Rattus norvegicus: one gene and its partners. The protein of the gene in region 1 interacts with the protein of each later gene in a pairwise test. Links are inferred from orthologs where the notes say so. Each region holds a gene or a part of one and is shown in the gene's direction. Other genes may lie near its edges. The genes, in order: Rbbp8, Rbl2, Lims1 and Pin1.

Region 1 (3,560 bases):
TTTATATCATGGTTAAATTCATCCTTATGAACATCCAGAGAACAACTGCTGTGGTTTTATTAGTAGCTATTTGTATCCATAAAGGCTTATTTTCTAATTGTAAAAAACAAGCATATGACTTTAAAACTTGATTTTAATTTTATTCTTTTTTTTACTTAGAAAGTGAAATACCTAAAAAAAATTTTAAATGACCTAATGACTTAACTAGTGGTAATTTCTTTACCATAGTTACTTATCTTAAAAGTGTCAAGCACTTTTTAATCTTCATGTTATAATTAAAGTATAATTCTGTTCCTTTACCTTATCCTTTGGTTGTCTTTGAACTAAGTATTTAAGCTGTAGAGATTTCCAGTAAAACACATTTTGGTTTTCTTTCAGGACAGATTTTAGAGAAACAGGAGGGGTTGGGGATTTAGCTCAGCGGTAGAGCACTTGCCTAGCAAGCGCAAGGCCCTGGGTTCGGTCCCCAGCTCCGAAAAAAAAAAAGAGAGAGAGAAACAGGAGCCAGTAACATTTTTAGTAAACTTAGTGCCTTGTCCCCAATGAGAAGTGACCGAGCTGTCACTACTGAGGTAACTCAGGTCATAGCAACCAAGCTGTTTCCAGGCCTCTCTCCCACTGTCCTAGCCTATAGCTGGGTTTCTCAGTAGAACTAAAGAATTATGCAAATTATGTCTATAAAATAATGGTGGTTATGCGTTAAAGACAAATTTACATTGACTTACCAGAATAAAGCTAGATAGCATTTTTTATCATTATTTACTGTTTATCCTCTTTCTCCCCCACCTTAGAATTAAGAAAGTTTTCCAAGGGTTCAACTCCTGCACCAGTTAACTCTGAGGAACATGAAATTCTAGTAGCCGACACTTGTGATCAGAGTCATTCTCCACTGTCTAGTAAGTAAACACTGTGGTTATAAGTGTACGGTCGCGGTTATTGCTAGGCAACAAGACCTACAGTCACAGTTAGCCAGTGTTTTAGAGATATGTTTAATATGAGAAAGTAATGTTAAGGCCAATATTAATTCATGTTAATATCTAAACTTATGTGAAATGTTGATGATTAAGTAAGAAAGACTTTTGATTTTTTTCTTTTATCCCTTCATTAAACAAGTATTTAAGGTTCTGCTATGTCAGGCACTGAACAAAGGAAGTATTTGTTCTTTTGGAACTTTTAGTCTGATTATGGGAGGAAGAAAACAAATTTATGTTTGTTTGTATGTATGTTGTAGAGTCAAGTACCTGAAGTCAACAGATGGCAAGGACACACAGTCTTACTAAAGTGACCCTAGAACAGAGGCTAAAAGGAGTGGGTGGCGTCCAGGAGCTGTGTCCGTCCTAGGGAACTCCAGTGTCAGTTGGTCTGTTTGGGGAGCACTATGGAAGTCTGTGAGAGCAGGATGGGTGACAGCAGAGATTTGGGCAGTGGGGGTAATAGAACTGCCCCTTGACAGATGGAAGGGACTCGGAGAAGCTAAAACTCAGAAGTTTGGCTTTGAAAATATTGTCTGAAATTCAAAACAAATGTTCAGATAAAGTTCTTCTTTAGAAGGAAAGGTTTGCGTACTGAGATACGTGTGGAGGTTGTTAACATACTACCTAACACCGTGAGGTAACCAAGCAAGTCAGTGTAGGTGGACAAATCAGTGTAGGTGCACAGGTTTCAGGTACCGAGGCCAGCCTACTTCTGTCATTGTTAAGCAGTGATTTTTTTTCGTTATCTCCGTTTTCAGAGATATTTATTGTCTCTTTCCAGAAATCATTTCACACATTTTCTACCCTAGTTATTGCCCCCATGGAGTTAGTACTATAGAAACACTGTATCTGTTTGTGTACTCTATGTTATTTGTACTTTATATAAAAGGGGAAAGACATGTTAGTCCCCTAAAGCCCCCGCCCCATACACACACAGACATACGCATACACACTGACAGTGTTGCAGCTGTATCTGTTGTGATTTAGAGGTTATTAAAAGGAAGTAGATCTAAGTAGCCAGAAGAAGAACTTCTAGTAGGAAAGGAGGACTAACAATAATGGCCAGCAGGAGACAGGTTACTCCCTCCTCAGCCTCGAGTCATCTGAGGTCTTGCTCCTCATTTCAAACGTCCTCCAGTCTACTAATCCACTGCCTCCTGACTCCCCTACGTGTTCTCTGTGCCCTCTGTACTGTTCTAGCCACCAGCATCTTCAAGACTGCTTTAGGACTTTGTTTCATTCCTTGCCTGTTAGATTTGTTCTTGGCTATGAGGCTGTCAGAGTCAGAATTATCCTTTTACCCAAGTATTTATGTCTGGCCTTTCAAAACTCTTGTCCCTTTTCCTTGGTCCCAGGAGAAATTCTGAACTCTTCAGCATAATCTGACCCCTGACCCCTAGTTAACAGGCGTGAGCTCATATTATGCTTTCATCTTCCACAAGTCGGTGCCTAGCTATTAAATCATACGCAGTTCTCTGAAAAGCCATTTTGTCCCATCTATCTGGGTCCTTAAAGATACCTAAAACCTTGCTTTCTGCCCCCGGTCCTTAAATGGTGGCTTCCCTTTCCCTTCAGCATCGTCATGTTAGGCATCCAGTTGTATAGTTTGTCTTGATTTCCCCGAGCAGATTTAGGGTCCTTATGTATTTAAACCTTTATTATGTTTTTTTTTTTACATGCTTCTGCAAATTCTGTTTGGTTTTTCCCTTAGAAAACAAAAGTTCTGTTTTTTACCTTTTACTATAGCAACGTATAACTGAAGTGTTGTACTAAGTTACTTAAGGAAAAGTAGAAAACTTAGATGAATGAAAAAGTCTCATAATTTGTCTGCTAAAATATCTTAACACATGGCTATTTATAAGAAAGCATTTTGGACCTTTTGAACAGTTTAAAATGTGTCCACTGTCATCTTAAAAATGGTACCTTGATTTTTTTCCTAATCTTTGTGATTTTCATGCATTGATTCTTCTTCTATGTGATTTTTTTATATCTTTTTTAAATTGTCTGTGTTTTTTTTTTCTTCTTTAGAAATATGTGGAACAAGCAGTTACCCCGCTGACAAGTTATCTTCTAACTTAGATGCTGTTGTTGCTGAGACGCTTGGACTTGATGGTCAAGAAGAATCTGTAAGCACTCACTCAGTTTGATAATTATGAATTGTTAATAATTCACATGTCCACTTAAATCTGTTCTTAAAGAGTTGAGGAGGAGCTGGTTATGATGGCACAGGCTGGTGGGATGTGCTGAAGACCCAGGGCTCCCTCTTCGTGAGAATGAGCAGGAAAGAAGTCATTTGAGCCCATCATCATTGGACAAAGGCCTAAAGCAAAACTGTCACTCTCTTTTCAGTGCAGTCAGAGCGACAGACCCTTAGGGTATGAGCTGCTTGAAGCTTAGACAATTTATTTTGCCAGTTCATTTATGCCCCTTCTCCAAAACATGTTTCCTTCCCATATTTATTGTAAGAAAACATCTTTAAGATTGAATTTTCTGGGGTTGGGGATTTAGCTCAGTGGTAGAGTGCTTGCCTAGGAAGCGCAAGGCCCTGGGTTCGGTCCCCAGCTCCGAAAAAAAGAAAAAAAAAAA
Region 2 (4,299 bases), on another chromosome or scaffold:
ACACACACACACACACACGCACACGCACACACACATGCATGCACACACATATGTGACTTATAAGGGTTGATCTCTGGTGAGAGATGTTTTGCCACCGAGAATCTCCCCAGCCCTTGTCAATCAAATGTGCTCATCTCTGCTAGATTCTCTTCTCCACCGGCAAGCCCATGCAATAAAGTTTCTTTTCCAAGAACAAATTCTTAGGGATTCACCTCACATCTAAGCTTAGTTAGAGATTCAGTAGCTTTAACACCTCAAGTCACAAACACTGATGCTGAGCCCCTTGGGTGCTGTTAAATTTCAGACCTGGGACAAATGGCTGAGGTGACTAACATCTCAAAGAGAACCTGGCTGCTGGGTTCTCCCTGTAACCCTCAACCTCCACCTGTTACCCTTGCCAGCCTCCTGCTTTTCCCTATATCATCCAGACATTTTAGTTTCTAGCTCTTTGTTCCTTCGGGCCTCCTGACTACTGCACCGGATTCCCCTCTCTCCCCTCTCTCCCCTCTCTCCCCTCTCTCCCCTCTCTCCCCTCTCTCTCCTCTCTCCCCTCTCTCCCCTCTCCTCCCCCTCTCATCCCCTTCCCCCGTCATGTGGCTCAGGGTCTTGTCCTCTGTGGACTCACCTAAACATTCCTGCTCTGCACTCTTCCTTTTATCTATAGTAAACTTTACCCTCTGCCTCACCTAGGAGCGGTTATATGATGGCTAATATAAATCTTCAGTTATTCTTGAAAACGCATTCATGATTGTTTGGTTGAGGGTTTCTTTGTTTTGCTTTAGTTTGGTTAGTGAGATCAATCTTAGCTCACTATACCTTGGCCATAGATAGTATTGACATAGGAGTCTCACTTGAGGAATCCTCTCTGTTGGGTTGGTCTGTGGGTCTTGCCTAGGCAGGTGGGCAGCCGCGGAGGTGGAGGCTAGGGGTTTTATTAGGAAAGTAGCTGATCAAGCAAGAGGGAACTATCCAGTAAGCAGCGTCCTGTGTTAGCCTCCCTCAATGATGGACTGTAAAGACTAATATGAAATAAGTCCTTTCCCCTCCGAGCTGGTTACAGTCAGTGTTTATCTCAGCAACAGTAACGTGAACTAGAAAAGGCAGCCAAACTATTATCTTTATTTTGGACCTTTTAGCTTCCTCCTCTAGGAGGAGGAAGTGTTGTAAAGAGCTTGTATACTAAAGCTTCTCCTGTCGATATTTTTTGGTCCTTTTCTCTTCAAAAGAACCTTATGAATGGCCTCACTATTGAGAGAGGCTTTAAAAAAAATGGGAGAGGGCGCGTTCACTCGCTCCTAAATGAAGAACAGCGCATTTTTGCTTTCTTCTTCCATGACTTTTGGTTCCCCTGATAGCCCGGCCAAGACTACATTTCCCAGCAGGCCATGCTCAGACCTACGGGTGCCCACATGGGACCTAGAAACTCTGGGGGCGGCACAGTAGCATTACGGGCTGCTGACGGGCCGGCGCTTCGCGGTTTGAATGGCTGTGGGCCCGGGCCCTAAGCTCATCTGAAGAGCCGCGGCCTCCGGGTGTGCCATGGCATCTGGAGGCAACCAGTCGTCACCTCCCCCTCCTGCTGCTGCAGCCAGCTCAGAGGAAGAGGAGGAGGATGGCGACACCGCGGACCGGGCGCAGCCCGCAGGGTCCCCAAGCCATCAGATCCAACAGCGGTTCGAAGAGCTGTGCAGCCGCCTTAACATGGACGAGGCGGCACGCGCCGAGGCCTGGAGCAGCTACCGCAGCATGAGCGAGAGCTACACGCTGGAGGTGCGTGCTCAGATCCTCCGCGGAAGTCGGGGACTCGGGGTGGCTCTGGGGTCACTTGGTCGTTTGCACCGCACCATTGCTGTGCAGCCGTCTTAGGAGACGCATTAAGTTTCCGGCTTGCTTCCGTGTGAGAACGGCTTAGGATTGTTGCCCCCCAACCCCGGCAATGAAAAGCGGGTGTAGACACACAACATTTGTTGCTGAGCACGGGCACTCTTTTTGGCTGTCATCCAGGTGTAGGCTTGTTATGTTCCGTTCTTGGGACGGGGCTTGCAGTTGACGAAAATGGCTCTTTGGGCCAGTGTCTGTCAACTCTGCAGGCACCTCCCCTGTGTGGGCCAATGGGAAGTGACACGGAAGTCCGGATTGTTTATCGCTGCCTGTGCGGATGGCCCTTTGCTTTTATATATAGCTTCTGAAAGAGAGGGGCAAAGAGGCCCCCGATCCGAAGGCTAAACAAGATGTTATTTAACTATAATACGATGGCTGGACTTGTGCCGTTCTTCTGAGTTGGTTTATTTCTATTTTTTAAAAACCGTCACACATTGAATTTCCCTCTCTCCATTTGTTAACACCCACAAAAAAAAGAAATAGGACATCTTCAGACCCAGATCTGAGTGACTCTGGGCAAGTTTGCAACCACAGTGAAACTCAGTTTGGTTGTGTAAGCAGTTTTGTTATTTGTGCCCACCTCAAAGTGCTGACCTAAAGCTTAACTAAAGCAATGTGTGTATGCGTGCAGATAATTGCATATACTGAAGCCGTCTGGCTGAAGAGGCTGTCGCCTTCCTCCTGACTTAGTGTTCCCTGGAACCAGGCAAAGAGGGGAATTTCGGGCTTGAAGGACATAGAGACCCCCAAACGAACTCTTACTTCACCTTAGAGAGGGCACTGTAAATTAGCAAGAATAAGCACTATAACATAGCAGAGGCTTCAATTCACAGAAACGAAGTCAATATGAAGCCTGGTGTCGCATATGCAACTGACATTTAACAGATGCCTAGTAAATGTGTGTGTGTGTGTGTGTGTGTGTGTGTGTGTGTGTGTGTCCCCGGTGGATCCTGGGGGGTCCATCAGATCTGCAGTTTGTCACCTAGCACCTTTACTTGCTCAACCTGCTGGATTAGTAAATTATTTTTGAGAACATATTCACTAGTTCTTGTTTGGCCAAGGCTTTCCATTTATTTGTTTGTTTATTATTTATTTTTTTTTAATTTGGCTTGTTTAGTGAGGTTTTAATCTTGATTCTTAGCCCAGTTTACCCTTGTGATAACTTCAGTTGTCAATTTGACACACTTGGGAAGAGGGAGACCTCACTGAGGAATCGTCTCCCTCAGATTGACAGCGGGCATGCCTGTGGCCATGTTCTTAGTTGCTAAGTGATGTCGCCCACTGTGGGCTATGCTACCCCTCATGGTCCTGGGCTGTACACAGAAGGCAGCATTGCGTAGTTCAGCTCTTGCCTCCAGGTTCCTGCCTGGAGTTCCTGACTGTAACCTGTAAACTAAATAAACCTTTCGTCCCCAAGTTGCTTTTAGCTGTGGTGTTTATCACAGTGCATCTCGAACAACCTTATACTGGCATGAATATCTGTTCACTTTGGAGTATTTCCTGAGCCCCTATCTCTTGCATTGTAGCATCCTCATGTATAAGACTTTTTTTTTTCCTTTTCAGGGGATGATTTAGTTATAGGTTCTCTCATCTCCCTTAAGCCCCCCCCCCCTTTTTTAGAACAAAGATGACAATTTAACTGCTTACCTGTATTCTTCCTAACAGATCTTGATGGAAATAAAACTCAGTAGTTGAAAAGCTCAGTTTCCCTTGAAATCATATAATTGGGGAAATCGTGACAACATGGGGTTGAGGGTGTGCTGTAGCGGACTGTGTCTGGTGGTAAGGCCTTGAGTTCTAATACCCATCAGTACCAAAACCAAAAACCAAAAACCAAAACTGTCCTCCAAACCAAACACCGTATGAAACCATTGCTCAGAGCTGTGCTTAAGTGGAGGAGAGAGGACTTGATGGGTGACATACCATGCAAGCATGTGGACCTGAGCCTAGATCCTAACATCCTTGCTGAAAGCTGGGGTAGATATCATGCTACAGTTTGGGAATTCAGGCAGTGCAAAGGAGGTGCTATGTTGTCTGCATCAAAATGACTGTTGTCTCACCCAGAAGCACTGTGTCACAAGGGTGTCAGTATGGTAGGGTTCCTTGGGCATCTCTCTGTGTAGAACTGGCCACTGCCATATTCTCTCTCAGCATGTCAGTTGAAGGGAGGCACACGCTTTGTATGCTGGTTTATGACATCCTCAAAGATGAAGGCAGTCGGTATCAGCATTCCCTTCTGTGACCTTTGAGATTGTATAGCATCACTTTTACCTGTGGTATTAATAAAGACCATCATGTACAGGGGCATAAGACTCTGCCCTGCTTCAAGGTAAAGGAACAGAGACAGTACCATGCATGGACGAATGTCAATGTCACATACTAGAAGAGGCCGTGGGCAAGGGCCGTCATAGAAATATC
Region 3 (4,360 bases), on another chromosome or scaffold:
GAACTCGTAGACATCCACTTGCTGCTGCCTCCCAAGTGCTGGGATTAAAGGTGTGCACCATTATGCACAGCTCAGAAAAAAAATACATAGTTAACTATTTATTTTGAATATTCCTTCCAATAATTCTTTGTGGGGCTGAAGAAATAGCTCAGCAGTGAAGCATGTTTGGTGCTCTTGCAGAGGATCTCAGTTTAGTTCCCAGCACCCACAGACAGGGAAACTCACAAACATCTGTAACCCCAGATCTGTCTCCAACACTGTCTTGTAGTCTCTGAAGGGTGCATAGGTGGTAAGTAGACATACATGAATGCACTCATACACATCATTTTTTCAATTTGTGTGTACTTTGTATTTCTGGTGTGCATATTCACACCTATGTGAAAAACTTCCAAATATCAAATTTTGTTTTTAAAAGCTGATTGCTGACAGACAGAACGAAACTAAAGAAATTGTGATGGTGGCATCCTTTTTTATTCTGAGATACTGTCAAGCTGAGCAGTAAGAAATTCAATCCCATTTTCTAGAACAACCATACTTTTCTAAGCTTTCTTTGTGGCTGACTGGTCAACCACAGAAGTAGAATTGCTCTGAGAGCACATTCCACAAATGGCATTGCTCTGATGAAACTAAAAACCACTAATCAAGAGGCAGCCAGTTTTTACCCAACTATCCCAAAATGGCAACATTTTTTCTTTTGGGTTGATTGTGTATACGTGTTTGGAAGTCAAAGGACAATTGGAGATGATTGTCTCCTTCCACCAGGGATTGAATTGTTGAGCCATCTTGCAGGCCAGCCAAAATTCTAACAAGAGCAAGGAAGTTCCCACTGGAAATGGCCAATCCAGATGAGACCTCCATTCCTGGAAGACTGACTTGCAGGGCATCTTCACTGGCACAATCTCCTTAGGACCGTCGCAGGTCGGGTGGAACCCTGTACCCACGCTCTGTAGACCGATTAGGTAGCCTAACGCCAAGTTGAGTCGAGTCAGAGCCTCAAGCCACGGGTACTCTTACTCGTTCTTTGACCATCACGCCCTTCCAAGTGTTCCCGGCCGCTAGACTCTGTGGCCATCCAGCCCTGGAACACCCAGAAGCCTCTCTGCCTGCTTGGAGCCAGGAGCAGCACCCACAGCCAAACTTGGAGAAAGCAGGCTTAGGGCCAGGCCGAAGAAGGGGGTGGAACTAAGTGGAGGAAGGAGGAGCTATGACAATTAAGGAGCGGGGCCAAGACCTGTAACGGCCCAATGCTGGAGGGTCCTCGCCAGGCTCCACTTCCAAGCCGCTGCTCCTTGACTTCGCCACGCCCCTTTCCCGGCTCTCCCCCCAGTCTACACTTCACCCCAGCACACGGTCCCACGCCCTCTCAAAATTTCGCCCCGCCCCAGCCCGGTTTTGGAGGTCCTTAGCCACGCCTCCCAGGCTGGCGCTCTTCGGGGCGTGGTCAACGCCGCCATTTGCGGGCCACTACAGGCTAGTGGCCGCGGGCCGCCTCGTCCCGCCCCCTTCCTGCCTAGGACCGGCCCTCAAATCTGCCGCTCGCCGCCGCAGCGAGGGAAGAGGGTGCGGCCACCGCGGCGGGCACTGAGGCACAGACTGACCCGGCGTGGACCGCGGAGATGCTGGGCGTGGCGGCCGGAATGACCAACAGGTACGGGCGCGCGCGCGCTCTGCGACCCGCCGCTGCCCGAGCCTACTCTGGGCCGGGCCGGGCTGGCGGGCGATCTCTGCCTCCCCGCGGCCGTGCGGCCTGCGGCTGGCCAGAGGCCCGGACACGCACCGCCCTAGCCGGAGGCGGGAGAGGCCTTCGTGGTCCGGCTGAGCTGTCCTGTGCGGCCTAGGGGTGTGAGAGCAGATGCTGTCCCAGAGTTTGGATCTTAATGTGAAATACATTCTACGGATTAGAAGAACGAAACAGAGGGTCTTAGGATCACTCATTTGTTGTTAACATTTGTTGTATTAGAAATGAACACGGACGTGTAAAATGTTTATTCGTTGAATAATACGTGATATATTAACATACATAACGCAATTTAATGAAAATAGTATACCCTAAACAGAAAAGTTAAGACGAATAGCCCGTTACATATTTTACAGATCCTGTCCACGTCTGGCTTAATAAAAAAAAGCAGCTGGGTTCTCCTTTTGCATTGTCTGTTGTGATGTGTTTTGAATGAACTATTTAAAGGAAATTTGGTTTTAAATAGATGGACCGCGTGAAGAGAAATATTCGAATAGCTTTCCCAAATAATTGTGGGTATTCTTTATGATAGAGCCAGAAGTTCAAAAGGTGTTTTTTTCTTTTTTAAGGCTAGTTTTGATATGAAACCCGAGCTCACAGTTATATGAAAATTCCTCAGGCTGTCTTGTATTTGAATGGAACTGTTACTCATTGTAATGGGTTTTATCGGCTTACCCTATTAAGGAAGGTTCTGGATGCTAATATATCGTATTAATGTCTTTCAATGACTTTTGTTAACATCATCAAAGCTGTTAAACTCAAGATGCTTCATTTTCCAGCATTGCAATTTTCAGTGGAAATCGTAACTTTTCTCAGTGTCAACAAAATATTGTCAGTTGTCCCCATGATTTAGTTTCAAGGAAATGTCTGCCTAAATGTGAGTCTTAAGTCACCGTGGTTGTCTTTTTGTTGTTCTTGCTGAACAAATCTTACTTCAAGAAAAATGCTTCCAATTCAGTACAGTGCTTAACATAGCATGTGCTTTTCCTTGAGATAGATTACTTTGGTATGTAGCAGAAGCACTGCATGCACACATACCCCTGGGTTCCAGGCACCAAGGAAGAGAAGACCAAGAGTTAAGAGTTTGTATAACCACTGTGCTCAACATGAGCAATTGTATTCACCATGGACATTTTTCACCTGAAAAAGAAAGATGTGTGGAATGTCTAGTTGAGAGGGAATTGGTAATGAGCTGTAAAGAAGAACGGATGTACAGTATAATCTCAGACTACAAGAGAATGATGTCTTTGTAGGACCCTCAAGTATGTTTCTGGTCTGGTGGCTTTCCCTGATCCTGTCTCCTCACCCCAAATCTCACTGTGTAGAATCTCACTCTTTGGCTGCCCTTCAGTTTGTCAGTGATCCTCCTGTCTGTTTTCTTGACCACCATGTGTGCCCTGTCCCCATTTTTATGCATTAAGTACATCCATATTGGTCCATTGCCATTGCCCTCAGACAGCTACAAAAGTGAAGCTGTCGTACACATTGAGCAGATCTTCGTTCCTTGTTCCCCCAGGTCCTGGCAACTACCATTTTTCTCCCTTGTTTTAACTTTTTAGTACCCCAGATAAGTGGAGTTACACAGTCTTCCTTTCATGTGCCATAGATACATAGTATGGATGTACCTGAAAGATATTTGGGGTATTGGCAGGTTTCTTCTAGGAATTAAAAATAAAGTTACTGTGGCTGTTCATGAATAGGTTTTAGTGTGGACATGTTTTACCTTTCTATAAAAAATGTCTAAGCATATGAACTTACCAGATTATATAGTAATTTTTATGTTTAGCTTTTTAAGAAATGAACAGAATGTTTTTCCAGAATGGCTGTATTATTTATTTCATCAAGGACAGACACTTAAAGGAGAAATTCACATTCTTATCCTCTATGTAAAGAATTTGGTAAAACTATCATGGCCTTCCAAGTATTTCTGGTTTTCTTTTTAACGTTATGTATATATATGGGCATGTGCATATACCTACATAGGCCAGAGGATGACCTTGAGTCTGGAGTTACAGGTGGTTGTGAGTTGCTAAGAATAGAACTTGGGTCTCCTGGAAGATTAGTGTTTCTCACCCACTGAGCCATCTCTCTCTCTTCAATCCCCAAAGTATTTCTTGAATGAGAGCTATAGTCTTTTTTATTCTTGGGCAATCTGTTTGTTTGTTTTCTTTCTTTGAGGCAGGATTTTGACTTGGTTCTTAGGACTTATTGACTAAGACTTGAAGAGCAACCCTGGTCCTAAAGTTCCTGTAGGGAAGTTGCATCATGAACAGGGAAACTCTGGTGGCACTTAGTGTCTTTGTAAATTTGCAGTGTCCTTTGTCTGCTTCTGAAGGAGGGAAATAGGCCTGGTGGGATGTTTTGTTTTGAGACTGGGTCTCATAGTCTAGGCCAGCCTTGAACTTGCTATGTAGCCATAGTAACCAAGAACATAAAGTAACCAGGGATCTAAACTAAGGCAGCCAAGGTTGGTTTTGAGTTTCTCATCCTCCTCTTGAATGCTGGAATTAAAGACAGTCTCGCCTGTTTTTCATGGGTTTCTGCAGAGGTCAAACCCATGGTTTTATGTAAGGGAAGCACTGCACCACTGTATTTCTAGCCCTGAAATATCTTAGTTCTTTA
Region 4 (4,232 bases), on another chromosome or scaffold:
TCATTAATTAGCTAGGGCCAGCAAGATGGGTAACTTGCCACCAAGCCTGACAACTTTAGTTTGACCTTCAGAACCCCATGGTGGAAGGAGAGAACAGATTGCCACAAATTGTCCTCTTGATTACACAGCTTTCATGGCGGTATCCCTTATAAATGTAATAGTTTTTTAAAGTGATTTTTTAAAAATTCTTGAAACAGGGATTCTCTGTGTAGCTCTGGCTGTCCTGGAACTCACTTTGTACACCAGGCTGGCCTCAAGCTCAGAGATCTGATTGCCTCTGCCTCCTAAGTGTAGGATTAAAGGCGTTTGCCACCAGCACTAGGCATAAAGTAACATTTTAAAATTCTTATATATATGAATTGCCTGCATGTATGTATGAATGTGTACCACATGCAGGTCTGGTGAATTGAAAGGTCTAATGGAAGGGCAGCTAGTGCTTTAACCACTGAGCCATCTCTCTAGCTGTCTTTTTTTTTTTTTTTTTTTTTTGATTCGTTCATTCGTTTGTTGAGACAAGTTTCCTGTGTAGCCTTAGCTGTGCTGAAATTCACTTTGTAGAGCAGGCTGGTCTCGAACTCAGAACTGCCTGCCTTTGCCTCCTGAGTACTAGGATTGAAGGTATACATTAACACACCGTTTTCCTCAGACTACCAGTTGACTAAAACCGGTCGTTGGAGCCGCCCACCCTCTCCTACCCCCTTTCCTCGGTCTAGTGGTAATGCTCTCACCCATCAGTCACCTGCCTAGAAGTCAGGAGGAGCCCATGGAGAAGGAATAAGTCGAAGTAGGTTCTAAAAAAGACATGGAAAGTGGGTGAATAAACCAGTGAAATGGTTCGCCTTGCAAAAACCGAAAAGGACTGGTTTCGCTTTGGACATCTGGAGGAAAAGGTGGGAAGAAGAACTCAAAAGCCAAATTTAGGCTCTGAATAGTTAGCCTTTTGTCACCAAGGCAACTGCATTGCTATGGCAACGGCAAAGTACAGCAAAAGCACCCATGTACCTTAGTTCCAGCTGGCCACTTCCGCGTGGATTCTGGCGGACCTCCGAGAAAGGCTTGAGAAGGCCGGATTGGCTGCCGCAGGAGCCAGTCAAATAAGCACTATTTTATCGGCTAAGCGCACCAAAAAGGGTGGAGCGCCCTTTTGACGCTTAAAGGGAGCCGCTTGCCGGGTTGGAGCATCCAATAGACGTAGCTTCCAGACGAGCCAATCAGTAGCGGTGTTGGGAAGGTGAGGGTAGTGGGTGGAGGGTGTGTGTAGGGGTGGTCCAGGAGGCCGCGGGAGAGCCCAATAAAAGGCTCGAGAGCTCGAGGCGTTGTGCTGCCGTCCAATTGGCGTCTCGATTGGATGAGCCAATCAACAGCGGCGCTGGTCTGGCGCGGGGTCAGAGCCGCGGAGGCGGAGCAGGCGCTGCGGCAGGAGGGAAGATGGCGGACGAGGAGAAGCTGCCGTCCGGGTGGGAGAAGCGTATGAGTCGCAGCTCAGGTACCTCTTAGGGGTCGCCCAGGGCCCGGGGCGAGGCCTGGAGGTTGCGGAAGTTGGGCTTGAGCTCGCCTGCACAGGCGAGTCGCATCACCGTCCTGCTTCGGGCATGGAGATCTGGCCTCCTCCGCGGCATAACGGGCCCGGAAAGCCAGATACTGAGGTAGGAGGTGGGGCAGGCACAGGCGCGCCCCGGTTCTCGCCCACCACTGGGCCCCGGTGCTCTGAGGCGACGAGTCTGCACCTCGGAGTTCCCTTGAGAGGAAGATCGGGATTCGGTGCAGAGGGCGTGGGCCGCCCTGCTCTGGTTTCTCGGGCAGCATCCGAGACACGTGCCCGCTCATCCCCCTATCGGGACCCAGGGACAGTGATGGCTCCTAACCAGGACAGTTCGTCTCTGGGTCAAGCATGGTGCCAAACTCTTTGAAAGACTTCAGTTCTTTTACAAGTCTACGCCGGTGTGTGCTCCCGCTTCCCCTCCCCCTCTCCCTCCTGCCTTCTCTCACTCTCTCCTTCCACCCCTCCCTCTCTCTCCCACCCACCTCTCCACTCTTCCTCTTCCTCCTATCCCCACCTCCACCTCTGTTCCTCCATCTCCCTCTCCCTCCTCCCTCGCTCCCTCTCTTTTCTTGGTTCATGCTCTCCTCCCCCCCACACCCCGGTTGCTACCATCTTTCAAGAAAGGAATTGCTCTCATATTTCAAGAGGGAGAAACTGAGGCCAGACATGGAAAGAACTCATCTGATAATGCAGTTCAGTCACTGGGAATGCCCTAGATTGCAATGATTTTTTTTTTTTTTTGATCTCAAATGTCCCCTTCCCAGTGTCAGTGGCAACGCCTAGAGTAGCCTACAAGCATTTCAGGTAGCCAGGGTCAATGCAACCTACAGAGCTCACTCAAAATTCTTAGTTATTAAGCATCAAGGTTCTGGACACTGCATATGTTAACTCTCTGAACCCAGCTAGGTTTAATGTCATTCACTTTCCACCTTTTTATCAAGAGTGGATGTGGAAAGGCATTAGACAGAGCCTCATAAAGACAGGTTACTCTTGAATTCCTGATCCCCCTGCTTCAGCTCCCCCAAGTGCTGAGATTACAGGCATGCACCACTTTGCCCAATTTATTTATTGAAACAATCTTTACTAATAATATTAGTAATACTGTATTTAATGTATGTGCATGTGAAGGTCAGACAATCTTAACTTGCAAGAGTTTTCTTCCTTCTACCATGAGTAGATTGTGAACTCCGTCAGATTTGGCTGCAAGCACTTACCCATTGAGCCATTTTCCTTTCTAAGATGTGTGTGTTTGTGTGTGTGTGAGAGAGAGAGAGAGAGAGAGAGAGAGAGAGAGAGAGAGAGAGAGAGAGAGAAAGAAAGAAAGAAAGAGTGCGCAAGAGCGAGCATGAGCGCTCAGACGATACTTATCCAAGGATGACCTTGAACCTCTGGTGTTCTGCTGGGATTACATCACACAGAGGTAAAGTCTTGCTGTGTAGCCCAAGCTTGCTTCCAACTCATGATCCTTGTGCTTCAGCCTCTCACGCACTGGGACTAAAGTTATAAGCCTTTATGCTCTGATGTCCTTATTCTCTTGTCCCAGTCTACAGATGAGAAAGCTGAGGTTCAGGGAAGGTGACCTGACAAAGGTTTTAGTTGGATTTATCCCCAGAGGCTTTGGGCTGCTCCATTCCTAGGGTGGGGTTGTGACCTCTAGCATAAACTTGTCTCTAACTGGGTGTGGTGGCACACAGCTGTATTTCCAGCACTTAGGCAGAAGCAGGAGGAGATCTGGTTCATGGTTGTCCTGGGCTACGTACACTTTTTTAAAAAATACATGTATGGGTATTAGGCTTGCATGTGTATTCCATATGCATGCAGTGCCCACCAAGAAGCCTGAAGAGACAGTTGTGAGCCTCCACATGGGTACTGGAAATTGAACTCCAGTCCAATAGAGGAGCAGATGGTGCTGTTAATCTCCGGGCCATCTATCCAGCCCCCATAGTGAAACTCTTTTACACACACACACCCCTATACCTGCCCCTCTGCTTAGTTATGCTTGTCATTTGTTCTCAGTAGGACTATGAAAAGCCCTTCCTTCATGGGTAACATCCAGCTCTTCTCCTATGCTAGATCAGCTGTGTAACCCAGGTAGACTCAGCCCTTGGAGTGACCCAGAATCTACTGGGTCCTTCCTTCAGGCTTCTGCCATACCCCTTCCTCCTCTTTTACCTTTCACTTTTTTGAGTCCGTCTTGCAAACTTACTTTTACTGGCTTCAATCTGCAGACATCCATCCTCTTGCCTCAGCCTCCCTAGTGCTAGGCAAACAGCATGTTCCACTAAGCCAGAGTTTTCCCTTGAGGTTTTGATTTTCCATCTGTCTCCTTTATGCCCTCACAGCCACTCAGATGACATCAGGCCCTGAGTAATGCTACCCCTTGCTCTCTGACTTAGGCTACCAGTGCAGGGGTTAAGACTGGAGCTTTGAGGGCTGGGGATTTAGCTCAGTGGTAGAGCGCTTACCTAGGAAGCACAAGGCCCTGGGTTCGGTCCCCAGCTCCGAAAAAAAAGAACCAAAAAAAAAAAAAAAAAAAAAAAAAGACTGGAGCTTTGGAGTAACTTTCTCTGTTTATGCACAAGACACAACTGCTGCTGCTGTGAGCAGAGGAGGGGGAGGTGCTGCCTGGGTTTTTGTGGAACGAAGCAATGGGTAAAAACAGTTATACTCTACCTTTTGGTGATATGTG

Evidence for each region.
Region 2: the proteins of Rbbp8 (region 1) and Rbl2 interact in binary tests that used the Homo sapiens proteins (3 or more experiments, as listed by UniProt). The link is inferred for Rattus norvegicus from reciprocal best matches to the Homo sapiens genes RBBP8 and RBL2.
Region 3: the proteins of Rbbp8 (region 1) and Lims1 interact in a two-hybrid assay, tested with the Homo sapiens proteins (2 studies listed by BioGRID and IntAct). The two-hybrid records come from large-scale screens. The link is inferred for Rattus norvegicus from reciprocal best matches to the Homo sapiens genes RBBP8 and LIMS1.
Region 4: the proteins of Rbbp8 (region 1) and Pin1 interact in binary tests that used the Homo sapiens proteins (3 or more experiments, as listed by UniProt). The two-hybrid records come from large-scale screens. The link is inferred for Rattus norvegicus from reciprocal best matches to the Homo sapiens genes RBBP8 and PIN1.

Annotation. Positions count from the first base shown.
Region 1 is NC_086036.1:3,236,472-3,240,031, forward strand, and holds part of Rbbp8 (DNA endonuclease RBBP8), read left to right. Parts: intron 1-791; coding exon 792-896; intron 897-3,002; coding exon 3,003-3,100; intron 3,101-3,560. UniProt on the Homo sapiens protein: Endonuclease that cooperates with the MRE11-RAD50-NBN (MRN) complex in DNA-end resection, the first step of double-strand break (DSB) repair through the homologous recombination (HR) pathway.
Region 2 is NC_086037.1:32,093,586-32,097,884, reverse strand, and holds the start of Rbl2 (retinoblastoma-like protein 2), read left to right. Parts: upstream 1-1,473; 5' UTR 1,474-1,539; coding exon 1,540-1,770; intron 1,771-4,299. UniProt on the Homo sapiens protein: Key regulator of entry into cell division. Directly involved in heterochromatin formation by maintaining overall chromatin structure and, in particular, that of constitutive heterochromatin by stabilizing histone methylation.
Region 3 is NC_086038.1:26,851,458-26,855,817, forward strand, and holds the start of Lims1 (LIM and senescent cell antigen-like-containing domain protein 1), read left to right. Parts: upstream 1-1,552; 5' UTR 1,553-1,616; coding exon 1,617-1,648; intron 1,649-4,360. UniProt on the Homo sapiens protein: Within the IPP (ILK-PINCH-PARVIN) complex, binds to F-actin, promoting F-actin bundling, a process required to generate force for actin cytoskeleton reorganization and subsequent dynamic cell adhesion events such as cell spreading and migration.
Region 4 is NC_086026.1:27,464,220-27,468,451, forward strand, and holds the start of Pin1 (peptidyl-prolyl cis-trans isomerase NIMA-interacting 1), read left to right. Parts: upstream 1-1,422; 5' UTR 1,423-1,428; coding exon 1,429-1,486; intron 1,487-4,232. UniProt on the Homo sapiens protein: Peptidyl-prolyl cis/trans isomerase (PPIase) that binds to and isomerizes specific phosphorylated Ser/Thr-Pro (pSer/Thr-Pro) motifs.